2 linked regions of the Stegostoma tigrinum genome follow. The protein of the gene in region 1 interacts with the protein of each later gene in a pairwise test. Links are inferred from orthologs where the notes say so. Each region holds a gene or a part of one and is shown in the gene's direction. Other genes may lie near its edges.

Region 1 (7,889 bases):
TGTCACATGTACCAGAGTACAGTGAAAGGTTTTGTTAACAAGCAGTACAGATGTTGCACGGGCTGACGAGTCCCTTCCCATGTAGCAAAATTCTTCTCACTTCAGGAAGTATCACTCAGGGTTCGGAATCAGTGTAGGCAATCTAGGTCCAGATGCAAGGACAACTGCATGAGGACAGAGTGAAGATTTGTTAAGAATTGGACTCTACTAGTCCTAAGAACTAGAAGCAGGAGTGGGCAACTCAACTTCTTGAGCCTGCTCTGTCCTTTAAAACAATCATGGCTGATCATAGCTTGGACCCAACACCACCGCTCCCTATAACCTGGAACTAATTAAGAATCTACCTGCTTCCTCAAGGAACTGTCTCAGGAACTGAATAATTACTTTGTGTCAGTCTCCATGGTGGAAGTCACAAGTAATATCTCAAAAATTCAAGAGAGTCGGGGCAGAGCTGGGTGTGGTGGCCATCACCATGGAAAAGATGCTACTAAAACTGATTGGCCTGAAGATGGACAAGTTCCCTGGACCAGATGGGCTGTACCCCAGAGTTCTCAAGGAGATAGTGGAAGCGTTAGTGGTGAATTTTCAGGAATCACTAGAGTCAGGGAGGGTTTTAGAGAACTGGAAAATCACTAACGTGACATCCCTGTTTAAGAAGGGAGTAAGGCAAAAGATGGAAAATCCAGGCCAATTAGCCTAACCTTGGTCGCGGGCAAGATTTTGGAGTCCGTTGTGAAGGATGAGATTTCTGAATATTTGTAAGTGTACGGTAAAGTAGGACATAGTCAGAATGATTTCATCATGGGGAGGTCATGCCTGACAAATCTGCTAGAATTCCTTAAGGAAGTAACGAGCAGGGTAGAGCAAGGAGAGCCAATGGATGTTATCTACCTGGGCTTCAAGAATGCCTTTTGATAAGGTGCTACACAGGAGACTGCTGAGTCAGATAAGGGCCCACAGTGTTAGAGGCAGCATGCTAACATGGATAGAAGATTGGCAGTCTGGCAGAAAGCAGAGAGTAGGGATAAAGGGGTCTTTCTCAGGATGGCAATGGTGATGAGTGGAGTTCCACAAGGCTTGGTGTTGGGACCATAACTCTTCACTTTGTACATTAATGATCTAGATGAAGGAACTGCGGGCATTCTGGCTACGTTTGCACACAATACAAAGATAGGTGAAGGGACAGGTAGTACTGAGGAGGTGGCGAGGCTGCAGGAAGACTTGGACAGGTCAAGAGTGGGAAAAGAACTGCCAGATGGAGTACAATGTGGGAAAGTCTGAGATCATGCACTTTGGTAAGAAGAACAAAAGCATGTACTATTTCCTAAATGGGGAGAAAATTCAGAAGTCTGAAGTGCAAAAAGACTTGGGAGTTCTAGTCCGGTGTTCTCGCAAGGTAAACTTGCAGGTTGAGTCAGTAGCAGGAACGCAAATGCAATGTTGGCATTTATTTTGAGAGGACTTGAATATAAAAGCAGGGATGCACTACCAAAGCTTTATAAGGCTCTGGGCAGACCACATTTGGAGTATTGCATGCAGTTTTGGGCCTCATGTCTCAGGAAGGATGTACTGGCCGTGGACAGGGTTCAGAGGAGGTTACTGAGAATGGTCCCAGGAATGGAAAGCTTAACATATGAGGAACATTTGAGGACTCTGGGGCTATACTCACTGGAGTTTAGAAGGATGAGGGGGAGTCTAATTGAAACTTTCAAAATACTGAATGACCTGGACAAACTGGATGTTGGGAAGATGTTTCCATTGGTAGGACCCGAGGGCACAGCCTTAGAGTAAAGAGAAGGCCTTTTAGAATGGAGATAAGGAGAAACTTCTTCAGCCAAGGAGTGGTGAATTTATGGAATTCCCTGCCACAAAAGGCCGTGGACGCCAGGTCATTGAGTACATTTAAGACTGGGATAGATAGGTTATTGATTATCAAAGGGATCAAGGGTTGTTGGAAGAAAGCTGGAGAATGGGGTTGAGGAACTTATCAGCCATGATTGAATGGCACAGCAGACTTGAGGGGCCAAATGGCCTAATTCCACACCTATGTCTTATGGTCTTATTTGCTCAGTTTCTCAGCAACCTGCTGTACTGAATTCCACAGATTCATGACTCTTTGAGAGAAGTAATTTCTTCTCATCTCTGTTTAAATATACCTTACCTTATCCTAAAACCGTGACCCTTTGTTCTACGATAACAAGGTGTAGAGCTGGATGAACACAGCAGGCCAAGCAACATCAGAGGAGCAGGAAAGCTGACATTTCAGGCCTAGGCACTTCTTCATTTTCTGAAGAAGGGTCTAGGCCCGAAATGTCAGCTTTCCTGCTCCTCTGATGCGGTTTGACCTGTGTTCGTCCAGCTCTACGCCTTATTATCTCAGATTCTCCAACATCTGCAGTTCCTACTATCCCTGAAACCCTTTGTTCTTTATTGTCCCACAAGGGGAAACATCCTGTCTACGTATACTTTGTCAATTTCCTTAAGCATCTTATGTCCTAAAAATGGATCTTCTCTCATTCCCCTCAGCTCTAAGCCATAAAGGCTGAAACCTCTCAAATTCTCCTCTTAAAGCAAGCTTTTTAATCGCTGGATAAAAACCAAACAAACTGTGGATGCTGTAAATCAGGAACAAAAACAGACGTTGCTGGGAAAAGCTCACCAGGTCTGACAGTATCTGTGAAGGAAGAATAAGTTAGGATTCAGTCGTGAGAAAGGGACATTAACTCTGATTATTTTCTTCACAGATGCTGCCAGACCTGCTGAGCTTTCCCAGCAACTTCTGCATTTGTGTTCATCGCTGGAATTAATCAAGGGAACCTAAACTTTCTTAGCAACAAATGTAAAATCTTACAAATAGTTCCTAACATCTATTACAGAGGTACTTAGAAAATCTTTTCTGAATGGTCTCATCCTAATTCTCAGACTATGCACCCCATGTTCAACAATGCCCAACCAGGATCCCACCTTCCACCTCTGGAAAAACTAATGAACCCAACTTCTTCCCTGAAATTAAGGTAGTGAGCGTAACATTTAATCTCAGTTATTAACGGAGTGAAACATGCAACGGAAATTGCTGTTCCCTTCGGTTTGGCATTCTCGCTATGCTGCCCTGAGGCTAGGCAAAAACTGGCACAAGCTCTAGACCACATGACCAGCGGCAAAGTCGCGGGGACAGATGACTACTGGATGTGAGTTTGCTCGCTGAGCTGGAAGGTTAGTTTTCAGACGTTTCGTCACCATTCTAGGTAACATCATCAGTGAGCCTCCGACGAAGCGCTGGTGTTATGTCCCACTTTCTATTTATCTGGTTAGGTTTCCTTGGGTTGGTGATGTCATTTCCTGTGTTGGTGATGTCATTTCCCATTCTTTTTCTCAGGGGATGGTAGATTTGCTCCAAATCAATGTGTTTGTTGATGGAGTTCCGGTTGGAATGCTATGCTTCTAGGAATTCTCGTGCGTGTCTCTGTTTGGCTTGTCCTAGGATGGATGTGTTGTCCCAATCAAAGTGGTGTCCTTCCTTATCTGTATGTAAGGATACGAGTGATAGTGGGCCATGTCGTTTTGTGGCTAGTTGATGTTCATGTATCCTGGTGGCTACCAGCGCTTCATCGGAGGCTCACTGATGATGTTACCTAGAATGATGACGAAACGTCTGAAAACTAACCTTCCAGCTCAGCGAGCAAACTCACTACCTTAATTTCAGGGAAGAAGTTGAGTTCATTAGTTTTTCCAGAGGTGGAAGGTGGGATCCTGGTTGGGCATTGTTGAACATGGGGGACATAGTCTGAGAATTAGGATGAGACCATTCAGAAAAGATTTTCTAAGTACCTCTGTAGAACCTCAACCTGAGCTACAAATCTTCTCAAAACTCACCAACAGATGACTACCACCAGCTAAGCCAATCATCGTTGGGTTTACTCCTCGACGTGCCGACTGCCGGTCTTGACCAATTGGCTTCCGCTTTGGATGAAGGCGCCGGCGTCGACCTGCTTCAAATAAAACCGTGAGAGAGGGAGGGAAAGACTGTAACGTTCGCATGACTTCAAATGCAGTCGCAATGTGGTGATAGAGTCACCGGCGCTGGAGTCGATGAGGAGGAGCCAACTGCCTGAGGCCAGAGATGTCGGACTGATGTAAGGGCAGTTGTTGAAAGGGGCGGGGAGGCGAACCACAACAGTCGCCGCCGTTGGCGGTTATTTGAGTACGGTCCTGGGCTAGGCCCGGTTACCATGGTTTCCGAGTGAGACGCGCACGCAACCGTCACTGGGTTCCAGTGCGCATGTGCTTACCCGGGCCCGGCTGCAACTCGTGACGCTTGCGCAGTACCGGGCCCGGTCTGCGGCACTGCGATGTTACTTCTTGTGCAAGTTACGCTGCTCGCTCATTCATCCAGGGGCACCAGCACTGCAAAAGGTTATTGTTTGTTTAAGAAAACAGTATATATTTTGGCTCTCCTCGCTGTATTGATCGTCAGTCAATGTGCAAATTGTTAAAACTGGCTGTGAAATTGAAACATTTTTCTTTCCTCCTTTCCCGCCCCGCCCCTTCACTGGAGAATTATTGCCTTGTTTAAACAGGTAACGAACTTTTTTGCCGTTTAATTATTGTGTATTTCCGTGTTCCGAATTTCTGGGCTTGAGGTGGAGGTGTGGTTCTCATTGCAACAAGTGCTTTCATACCTAGATGATACGTTTGTGTAGATTGAGACCGAAAAGACGGGTCGTGACCACAGCGAATATGCCCAATAGGGAATTCAGCAGAATCCCGGGAGTGGTGTAACCCTGGAACTCCGGATCGTATGCGGCGAATTTATAGAAAAATTAGAAACGCAGTTGAGAATCAACCAAGTGAGAGAAAAGTGCAGAAGGAAATAAAAAAAGAATTAGAGCTTCGAGCCTACGAACACTACCATAAACCAGTTTGATTGAAAAAAACATTGAATTCGTATTGAAACGTAACTTTTTTTTTAAAGGGACCTTCTCGCTGGTCGTACTGTATTTTAAGTACAGGTCTAGCTGTCAGTTGCTATACCTAACTCCAGTGAGGTAACGAGCTTATAATTAAATATTCTGGGGTTTTGTAATCAGTGCGACTTCACGAATAAATTTAGAAACTGCAAAAAAAAACAGCAAGCCATTGTAGCTGGTGCAGTTTACATAATTATATGCTTGGCACGCCAGTAGCCCAGTTTTGAAATACATTTGGGTGGTGCAGAAAATTACTGGATGAAAAAATACTTACATTTAGAATTATGTTCTGCATTTTTGAGTTGTGAAAAATTCAGTTTCTTGTCACTGTTGTCTAACTCCGCTATTTGTTCAAACCTTTATACTCTGTCAGATCCCTCCCTAATTGGTTTTTTTAAAAAAACAAGGTCTTACAACAAATGAGCAAATTCTGTCCTGTTTGGTGAAGTCATAGTTAAACGTTTTGCTTTGAATTTTTTTCCCCATCTATACCTAATTAAAAATAATAAGGTGTGAAGCTGGATGAACACAGCAGACCGAGCAGGAAAGTTTTTTTTTGCTGTTTTGGGTCAAGATCCTTCTTCAGAAATGGGGGAAGGGGATTCTGAAATAAATAGGGAGAGGGGGGAGGCGGAGATGGATAAAGGAGAAGATAGGGTGAGAGGAGACGGACAAGTCAAAGAGGTGGGCTTAGAGCCAGTGAAGGTGAATGTAGGTGGGGAGTTAGGGAGGGGATAGGTCGATCCAGGGAGGATGGACAGGTCAAAGGGGCGGGATGAAGTTAGTAGGTAGGAGATGGGGTGGGGCTTCAGGTGGGAGGAAGGATGGGTTAGGGAGGTGTGGACAAGCTTGACTGATTTTGGGACGAGGTAACAGGAAGGAAGATTTTGAAGCTTGAATATTTATATGTTGGGTTTTCAAAATTGTAACAACACATAGGATTGTATTTGTAAATACGACTGTTTGTAAATCAGGGAATTCTTTAGCGAGTTTTGAGAAGATTTGGAGCTCACGTTAAGGTTCTGGGTGTGAGTTCACTCGCTGAGCTGGAAGGTTCGTTTTCAGACGTTTCGTCACCATTCTAGGTAACATCATCAGTGAGCCTCCGACGAAGCGCTGGTGTTATGTCCTGCTTTCTATTTATCTGTTTAGGTTTCCTTGGGTTGGTGATGTCATTTCCTGTTCTTTTTCTCAGAGGATGGTAGATGGGCTCCAAATCAATGCGTTTGTTGATGGAGTTCTGGTTGGAATGCCATGCTTCTAGGAATTCTCGTGCGTGTCTCTGTTTGGCTTGTTCTAGGATGGATGTGTTGTCCCAATCAAAGTGGTGTCCTTCCTCATCTGTATGTAAGGATACTAGTGATAGTGGGTCATGTCTTTTTGTGGCTAGTTGATGTTCATGTATCCTGATGGTTAGCTTTCTGCCTGTTTGTCCAATGTAGTGTTTGTCACAGTTCTCGCAAGGTATTTTGTAGATGATGTTCGTTTTGTTGTCTGTACAGGGTCTTTTAAGTTCATTAGCTGCTGTTTTAGTGTGTTGGTGGGTTTGTGGGCTACCCTGATGCCAAGAGGTCCGAGTAGTCTGGCAGTCATTCTGGCAGGGAATTCTTTCTTTTTATTTAGAATGACATGTTCTGGACCCAACCTCAGGACAGGCAATACTAGACCTAGTGTTGTTCAATGTGATGGGATTAATTTGGAGTGCGCTTGTCGCTCGGGAGCAGTAAAAATCAGAATTTTATATCCTATTTTGAAGAGGTGGCTGTGTCCAATACTATTTCAAAGTTGATTAAGACACAAAAGTAGATATTAACTGACAAGCTTGTTTTTTTTAAACTCACTTATGGGATGTGGATATCAATTTCTTTTTTTTTGCCCATTCTTTGATAGTGGTGATGAGCTACATTCTTGAACCATGTATTGCATGTGCTGTAGGTAGATAAAGGATATGTTAATGGATGCGGTGACAGAAATTAGATATATTTCAAAATACCGAGATTAGTTCCAAAAAAGAAATTCCAAATGGAGGACTGGTCGCCCATGTCTAACTTAAAAGCAGTTAATAATAGTATCAACCCGAAAGGAAAAAGCTGGGTGGCAAGGCAGAAGATTAGACACACTGTACATTACAGCAAAGAACGGCTAAAAGATTAAAGAGGGAGTATAAGTGAAGCCAGGTGGGAATATAAAAGACAGTAAGAGTTAACAGACTAAGAATTGATCTCTGGAAAGTGAGTTTGGAGCATTAATGAGATGGATGAATTGAATGGGTAGTTTACATTGGTGTTAGCTATAGAAGATAGTAGTGACATCCCAGGAATAGTTGTAAATCCAGAAATGGAGTGGAGGGAGGAACTCCCAAAAAAAATTGCAAGCAGGGCAGTACTACTTAGCAAGTTGTTGGAGTTGCATCTGACCAGTCCTGTTGAACATCATCCTATATTCCTAAAGGAAGCGGTTTAATGAGAAAGTTAGTGTCTGTTTTAATCTTCCAAAACCCAGTTGATTTAGGATAGTTCCAGTAGATTGGAAGATTGCAAACATTTTGCAACAAGAGATGGAGGCAGAAAGTTCAAAAGTTCTTAGGCCAGTCAGCTCCAGAGGAGGCACTCGCCGGACTGTTAACCCAGAGACTCCGGTTCGAAACCTGTCACAGCAGAAAGAGTAACTTGAATTCAAAAAAGGAAATCTGTAATTAATTTGTCTAACAATTGCTATGAATCTGTTGTTGATTGTCAGAATTAAAACCCACCTTGTTCACTAATGTCCTTTAATTCAATACAAATCTAGAATAAAGAATCTAATGGTGACCACAAATCCATCGTTGATTGTTCGAAAAAACCCATCTGGCTCACCTAATGTACTGGAGGGAAGGTAACTGCAATCCTTTTTCGGTCTAGCCTATATGTGACTCCAGACCCA
Region 2 (8,450 bases), on another chromosome or scaffold:
ACAACACATCTTTGTGTCTGCCAAAGTGTCTACATCCCAATGGATTGCTTTTTTTTTGTTCATTAAGTGCTCCCACTTTACAGAAGAAACAGCTTTCTGGTAGGGAAATCTAAAGCAAAAATCATAGAGTTTGGTCATTCAGTAATTAAATCAAAAGGCATTTCTTCACACAAAAATGTGATCGAAAGGTAGAATTCTTTACCTGTAAAGGTTGCGGGTTAATTGAAATGTTTTAGACAAGAGGTAATTTTTTTTCAAAACATGTGAAATGAGGTAATGCATTTTTCAGGAAGAAAATGGACAGATAATATAACATAGATAATAAAATGTGAGGCTGGATGAACACAGCAGGCCCAGCAGCATCTCAGGAGCACAAAAGCTGACGTTTTACCCTTCATCAGAGAGGGGGATGGGGTGAGGGTTCTGGAATAAATAGGGAGAGGGGGGAGGCGGACCGAACATGGAGAGAAAAGAAGATAGGTGGAGAGGGGAGTATAGGTGGGGAGGTAGGGAGGGTATAGGCTAGTCCAGGGAAGACGGACAGGTCAAGGAGGTGGGATGCGGTTAGTAGGTAGGAGATGGAGGTGCGGCTTGGGGTGGGAGGAAGGGATGGGTGACCCATCCCTTCCCCCCACCCCAAGCCGCACCTCCATCTCCTACCTACTAACCGCATCCCACCTCCTTGACCTGTCCGTCTTCCCTGAACTGGCCTATACCCTCCCTACCTATCTTCTTTTCTCTCCATCTTCGGTCTGCCTCCCCCTCTCTCCCTATTTATTCCAGAACCCTCACCCCATCCCCCTCTCTGACGAAGGGTCTAGGCCCGAAACGTCAGCTTTTGTGCTCCTGAGATGCTGCTGGGCCTGCTGTGTTCATCCAGCCTCACATTTTATTATCTTGGATTCTCCAGCATCTGCAGTTTCCATTATCACAGATAATAATAACATAACGGGTACAATTCTAAAGGAGGTGCAAGTGCATAAGGAACTGGTGTATGTGGCAAGTGGAGAGAATGGTTAATAAAGCATACAATATCCTGGGCTTTATTAATAGGGGCATGGAGACAAGAATAAGGAGGTGATGCCAAATTTACCCAAGTAACTTGTCAAACCTCAGTTTTGCATACAGTTCTGGGTACCAGACTATGGTAAGGATATGAACAAATTGGGGAGACTGCAGAAGAGATTTACAGGAATGATTCCAGAGATGGAAAATTTCAGTTATGATAGATTGGAGAGAATGGAACTTTTCTGCTTAGAGAAAGAAAGCTAAAAACACATCTGACAGAAGTTTTCAAAAATCACAAGTGGACTGGATTGTGTAAATAAGCTGTTCCTACTTATTCAAGGATCAAGAATAAGAGGGCTCAGATTTAAAGTGATTTCCGAAGGAAACAAAAGACAAGGTGAAATAAAATTGCTAATGCATGGTTTAGGTGTGGAATGCGCTGGAGGCAGGTTCAATTGAGGCTTTTAAGGCAGCACTGGATGATTATTTAAACAGAAACAATGTGCTTGAGTATGTGGAGAAGGCAGGAAATGGCACCAAATCATGATGCTCATGTGGAGAAACGGTGAATACACAACTGGCTTTTACAACCATTCTTGTAATTCTTTTCTTGCAAACAGGAAAGTGAAGTTGAGACCACAAACAGATCAACCATCATACTGAGGTAATGGGAACTGCAGATGCTGGAGAATTCCAAGATAATAAAATGTGAGGCTGGATGAACACAGCAGGCCAAGCAGCATCTCAGGAGCACAAAAGCTGACGTTTCGGGCCTAGACCCTTCATCAGAAAGGGGGATGGGGAGAGGGAACTGGAATAAATAGGGAGAGAGGGGGAGGCGGACCGAAGATGGAGAGTAAAGAAGATAGGTGGAGAGAGTATAGGTGGGGAGGTACGGAGGGGATAGGTCAGTCCACGGAAGACGGACAGGTCAAGGAGGTGGGATGAGGTTAGTAGGTAGCTGGGGATGCGGCTTGGGGTGGGAGGAAGGGATGGGTGAGAGGAAGAACTGGTTAGGGAGGCAGAGACAGGTTGGACTGGTTTTGGGATGCAGTGGGTTTGGGGGGGGGGGGGGGGGAAGAGCTGGGCTGGTTGTGTGGTGCAGTGGGGGGAGGGGACGAACTGGGCTGGTTTAGGGATGCAGTAGGGGAAGGGGAGATTTTGAAACTGGTGAAGTCCACATTGATACCATATGGCTGCAGGGTTCCCAGGCGGAATATGAGTTGCTGTTCCTGCAACCTTCGGGTGGCATCATTGTGGCAGTGCAGGAGGCCCATGATGGACATGTCATCTAGAGAATGGGAGGGGGAGTGGAAATGGTTTGCGACTGGGAGATGCAGTTGTTTGTTGCGAACTGAGCGGAGGTGTTCTGCAAAGCAGTCCCCAAGCCTCCGTTTGGTTTCCCCAATGTAGAGGAAGCCGCACCGGGTACAGTGGATGCAGTATACCACATTAAGCAGAGGTTCACCTGCACATCTGCCAATGTGGAATGTCATCTTGGGGCCTGGGATAGGGGTGAGGGAGGAGGTGTGGGGACAAGTGTAGCATTTCCTGCGGTTGCAGGGGAAGGTGCCGGCTGTGGTGGGGTTGGAGGGCAGTGTGGAGCGAACAAGGGAGTCACGGAGAGTGTGGTCTCTCCGGAAAGCAGACAGGGGAGGGGATGGAAAAATGTCTTGGGTGGTGGGGTCGGATTGTAAATGGTGGAAGTGTCGGAGGATGATGCGTTGTATCCGGAGGTTGGTAGGGTGGTGTGTGAGAACGAGGAGGATCCTCTTAGGGCGGTTGTGGCGGGGGCGGGGTGTGAGGGATGTGTTGTGGGAAATACGGGAGACGCGGTCAAGGGCGTTCTCGATCACTGTGGGGGGAAAGTTGCGGTCCTTAAAGAACTTGGACATCTGGGATGTGCAGGAGTGGAATGTCTTATCGTGGGAGCAGATGCGGCGGAGGCGGAGGAATTGGGAATAGGGGATGGAAGTACGCTTGAATAGCCTACTCTTGTTCCTAAATTCTCTAGCTACTTCACATCCTTCTTGAAGTGTAGTGTCAAGACACTGGGAAGGACTTACTGCTCTTCTTTGAAGTGTTGGTCATACAACTGTGTGCTTTCATTCAAGGGGTCTCAGTTTGAGGTCTTATCCAAAAGATGGCATCTCACTATTACTAACAGAGACACTTGACATCTTGGTTTTCACTGAGGTGGCATAACTGAGGATCCATCCTGATTACAGTTCAAATGATGATTAAAAATACTGAAGCTGACCTTAAATGATATGGTATATGAACATTTGAAAGTGTTATCAGATCAAGCAGCAAAGAACTGTAGCCTTAATCTCAGACAGAAAAATTTTGAAAAATGGCGACATGGTGTCAGTCTCATGTGTGCCGATTGTTGAAAAATTCTGGTATTATGAGGAGTACTGTTTTCTTCCCCACCTCAGTATTCAGTAAGTTGATATGGTCGCAGCAATATAAGACAGAAGCCAATGACAACTTGTACATTTGCTCTGGCTTAGCATGTAGCACACTTGCCTTTGAGTTATGGAATTCTGTGTTACAAGTCACACGCTCGAGATTCAAACATATAACAGGTTGATACTTCCCTATTGCAATGAAGAACATTAGGCCATTTTTCAGCCAAGGCATTAAACTTCAGCAGTGGCTCAGTTAAACTCTCTTGGCCTCTAAATTTCAGTCCCACTCCAAGGTTTAAGCCTTGAGCACAAAGATGGTGCTGTGGTGCAATATGGAGGAAGTGCTGCACTGTTGAAGGTGCTAGCTCCTGGATGAGAAGTTAATTTGGTTTCCGATATGCTTGTTCAATTGGATATGAAAGATCCCACACACTATTTTGAAAAAGAAATGTGACAAGATATGCCTAAGACAGATTTGTTCTGTCCTGTTCCTCAGGAAGAGAGATGTTGTAAACACGGTACCATGGGGTCTGCTCCATGGAAAGAAGATTAAATAGCTTTGGATTTTTTAAACAAAAAACTAAACAAAAAAAGCAGGAGGGTTTGAACAAGGCTTACACAGATACAGGGCTTTAGTTTATACTTTCAGTTGTTGAAGCTGGGGTTTGGACTAAGATGCTAGATACAGTTCTCACTCTGTAGTTAAAGATGTTCAGTCAGTGTTCCTTCTCCTGGACTGGATAAGATCATAAGTGATGGAAATCTGTTTTGCTGAATTGACCTGTGCCAAGGGTGTGTTTATGGGATGCTGTTACATTGGAACAGTAGGAGTAGCTGTTAAATAATATATAATTTTGCTATGTATCTAGATAGAGTTATGGTTATGCCATTTTTTTTGTTTTTGTTTCTGTTTCTAAACTGTGGTGCCAGAATCAAGTGTGTTTTGCTTAAAGCATAGTAGTTTGACCAATTGAATCAGATATGCAATGCAGCTCCTTATACTTACCTCTATAAAGAGAAAAAGGTAGAATCTAAGCTGTCTCCTCGATATATATTAAGGAGATTCGGTCTGGCTCATAGAAGAAGGAAATTTGCACTGATGAGCTAGAGCCAATATGTAACCCTTCCTCTATCAAGACCACAAATAACAGATTATCTGCTCATGTTCACATTGTTAACCAAATTCATATGTGGGCAGAATAGGGCTGCTGCGATGTCAGAACAACCAAAGCAGATGCTTGGGCAAGATGCTCTAGTTCAGATCCATTATTTGTACAACATGGCTCTAAATTTAAAACAAAAATTGCAGTACACGGCTTTAAAATAAAAAAGTGACCCTTCCACAGAACAGCATCCGTAGTGCTCTGTTTCTGAAATAAGGTGTGTTGGGACGTCAATTTTTACCTATTATCAAATTAAGTTTGTAGAGGAGAAATTACATTTTTGTTGTTTGGAAGGTGCCCTGTCTCATGCGGTATGATCACAGCTTCCAGCGCTGATCTGCACTGAGCAAAGGGCCTCGCGGTTACCATGGGAATCGGCCGGAACCGGAAGTCTAGTCGAGAGCACAGGAAGGGGTCGTGCGTGGGTGTCATGGCGACGGCCTGAAGGAGGTGGTTGTATTGAGCGAGGTCGGCATCATGAAGACGGTGTTGATGGTCGCCGAGAAACCTTCTCTGGCTCAATCCATCGCCAAGATCCTGTCGCGGGGTAAGTGAGCCTCGATCAGCAGTAATCTGTACGAATGTGTGGGCTTGTTCCTACGAGCTCAGTTTTTCCACGGCAGATCCATTGAGGCACAGCTTTGGCATTGGTCCTACGGTTTCCCTTCGTTTCGAAACTAGCTGGATGTACCATGAGGCCACGTTAAAGCGCTTTGTAAAATTTGCCTTCTGTACTAGTACAGCCAGATTATTGGAAATTACAACCAGGGAACAACATTTGAGATGAGTGACTGGATCATCTATCTTTAATGAATGATTAAGTTTTGGTTCCGAGACTTGAGCAAATTCTTCTAACCTTTGCTAAATCGGGTTGTGTGCTATTTCATGAGGGATGACCTTATAGAGGTATATAAAATCTTGTGGATAAAGGTGAACGGCGGTTGCCTTTTCTCTAGGGTGCGGGATTTCAAGACTAGAAGGCACTTTAAGGTTAGAAGAGAAAGATTTAAAAAGAAAACAAGAGGCAATATTTTTGCAGAGTGTCTTATATATAGAATAAACTTCCAGAGAAAGTGGTGGATGCGAGTACAGTTACAACATTTAAATAAATGAAAGAAACGTACGTAGGGATACAGGCCTAGTGTAGGCAAGCGGGACTAGTTTAGATGAGGATTTATGGTCAGCATGGATTGGTTGGTTTGAAAGGTCTCCTATGCTGAATGCCCAATTGAGCAAGTAGATCAGCCTCAAGTTAACATTTCATCTGGCCAATGGCATCTCCCAATAATTCAGCACTCCCTCAGTTATGATAATGTGACAACCTAGATTATGTGCAGAATCAGGGTCTGAGTCCCTATTGTTCCAACTTGCAAGAAAAACTTACCGCTAAACTGAGTTGTCACTCACTATTATGATGCTCAGAATGCATACTCTTTCAGTAACTTTCTTGTTGAATATCACAATTACAGGTAGGGTCTAGATTAAAAATCAGTAAATGAATTAGCCAGACCTTTGTGCTGATCAGGAAGCATGGGCAGGTGTCAGTTGGAGATAGCAAGAACTGCAGATGCTGGAGCCAGAGTCAACATGGTGTGAAGCTGAAGAAATACAGCAGGTCAGGCAGCTTCAGAGGAATAGGAAAGGGCCCTTCTTCAGAATTGGGGAGGGGAAAGGGAGCCGGGAAATAAATAGAACAAGGAGGGGTGTGGCTGATTGAAGGTAGGTGGCATGGTGATAGGTGGATGCATGTAGGGGATGGTGGAGATTGGTCAGTGGGAAGGGTGGGGCAGATAGGTGGGAGAGAAGAAGGACAGGTTGTGTCAGGTCAAGGAGGTGAGAGGGAGGATGTGTGGGCCTGAGGCAGGGGTGGTGGCTGCAGATGTGGGGAAATAGGGATTGGCCAGTGGGAAGGGTGGGGCAGAAGATTGACAGGTTATGTCAGGTCATCGAGGCGTGTATGAGAAGGAGGTTTGGACATGGGATGGGGAGATTTTAAAACTGGTGAATTCAATGTTTAGGCCATTGGGCTGTAGGCTTCTGAGGTGTATTATGAGTTGTTGCTCCTCCAATTTGTGTGTGGCCTCATTATGACACTGGAGGAAGCCCAGGATGGACATGTCATCCCAGGCATATGATGGGGAGTTGAAATGCTTAGCGACTGGAAGGTGTTGTCGATTATCACGTACGGAGCGCAGGTGGCCCACGAAATGGTCAAGTCTGCGCTTGGTCTCACTGACGTAGAGGAGACCACGTTGGGAGCACTGGATATTGTAGGCCAGGTTGTAGGATGTACAGGTGAAACCCTAGCAGATATGGGAAATTTGCTTTGGGCCTGGAAGTGAGGGGAGAAGTGTAGGGGCAGGTGTAGCACTTCCTGCAGTTGCAGGGAAAGGTGCCGGGTGTGGTGGGGTTAGTGGGGAGCGTGGAGCAGACAAGGGATTTGCAGAATGAGTTGTCTGTATGAAAGACGGAGAGGGAAATATCTCTTTGGTTGTGGGGTCAAATTGCAGATGGGGTTGTGGTGGAGGTTGATGTGTTGGATACAAAGGTTAGTGGGGTGATATGTGAGGACCAGGAGTCTGTGTCTTTATTTTTGTTGGGGGGTGGTGGTTAGAGGCCAATACAAGCTATGTGGTTGAGGGCATTTTGATCATTAGATTGGGCAAATTGCAGTCCTTAAAATAGGAGGACATCTGGGATGTATGGGAGTGGAACGCTCCATCTTGGGAGCAGATGTGGCGAAGGTGGAGGAATTGGGAGTATGGGATTGCATTCTTGTAGGAAGGTGAGTGAGTGGAGGTGTAGTCCAGTAGCCATAGGAGTCGGTGGGTTTGAAATAAATGTCGGTGTTGAGGTGGTTATCAGAGATGGAGATGGAGAAGTCCAGGAAGGGGAGGGAAGTATCGGACATGGTCCAGGTGAATTTGAGGCTGGGATGAAAGGTATTAGTAAAGTTGATGAACTGTCCTAGCTCCTCGTGGGAGCATGTTAGCACTGATACAGTCATCAGTGTAACAGAGGAAGAGTGTGGGATGGTGCCTGTGTAATAGCGGAAAAGGGACTGTTCCACGTTTCCTACGAAGAGACAGATGTAGCTCGGACCCATATGGGTGCCCATAGCCACCCCCTTAGTTTCTAGGAAGTGGGAGGAATTAAAGGAGTTGTTGTTCAGGGTAAGGAAAAGTTCTGTTAAGTGGATGAGGGTGTTGGTAGTGGGAGACTGGCTCGGTCTGTGAGAGAAGAAGAAGTGAAGGGCATTTCGGCCATCTGCATGGCGCCTAAAAGTGTCAGAAATTGGATGTCCATAGTGAAGATGACATTTTGGGGTCCAGGGAATTGGAAGTCTCAGGTGAGGTGGAGGGCATAGGTGGTATCATGAATGTAGGTGGGGAGTTCCTGGACATGGGTTTGGTGGGGGGGACACCATGGATGTCCAATCCCTGTACTCTTGAATAAAGGCAGATGCTGAGCCATACAGGGGAAGTTATCAAAGATAGTTTTTAGCAGGAAGAAAGTTGAGGTGTAAAGTCCAGGCTAATGTACTAGGGACGTGAGTTTGAATCCCGTCATGGCAGTTAATTAAATTTAAATTTGATAAAAAATATCTGGAATTAAAACTAGCCTATTGTCATCCTCGTAACCACTGTTGATTATTGCAAAACCCATATGACTCACTATTGAATGTCATGGAAATAAATCTTCTGTCTGGCCTACGTGCGACTCCAGACCCGTGGCAATGTGGTGACCGCTGGGCAATAAAGGATGAGCAATAAATGCCAGTCTAGGCAACAATATGTCTACATTCTGTGAATAAATTTTAAAAAGTGACACTAGTTGAGGAACAGGAAACCAGTGGTTGAACTTTGGA

Evidence for each region.
Region 2: the proteins of ssx2ipa (region 1) and top3b interact in binary tests that used the Homo sapiens proteins (3 or more experiments, as listed by UniProt). The two-hybrid records come from large-scale screens. The link is inferred for Stegostoma tigrinum from reciprocal best matches to the Homo sapiens genes SSX2IP and TOP3B.

Annotation. Positions count from the first base shown.
Region 1 is NC_081361.1:98,998,054-99,005,942, reverse strand, and holds the start of ssx2ipa (synovial sarcoma, X breakpoint 2 interacting protein a), read left to right. Parts: upstream 1-4,246; 5' UTR 4,247-4,349; coding exon 4,350-4,413; exon of another isoform or gene 4,414-4,577; intron 4,578-7,889. UniProt on the Homo sapiens protein: Belongs to an adhesion system, which plays a role in the organization of homotypic, interneuronal and heterotypic cell-cell adherens junctions (AJs).
Region 2 is NC_081379.1:44,586,294-44,594,743, reverse strand, and holds the start of top3b (DNA topoisomerase 3-beta-1), read left to right. Parts: upstream 1-4,991; 5' UTR 4,992-5,059; coding exon 5,060-5,129; intron 5,130-8,450. UniProt on the Homo sapiens protein: Releases the supercoiling and torsional tension of DNA introduced during the DNA replication and transcription by transiently cleaving and rejoining one strand of the DNA duplex.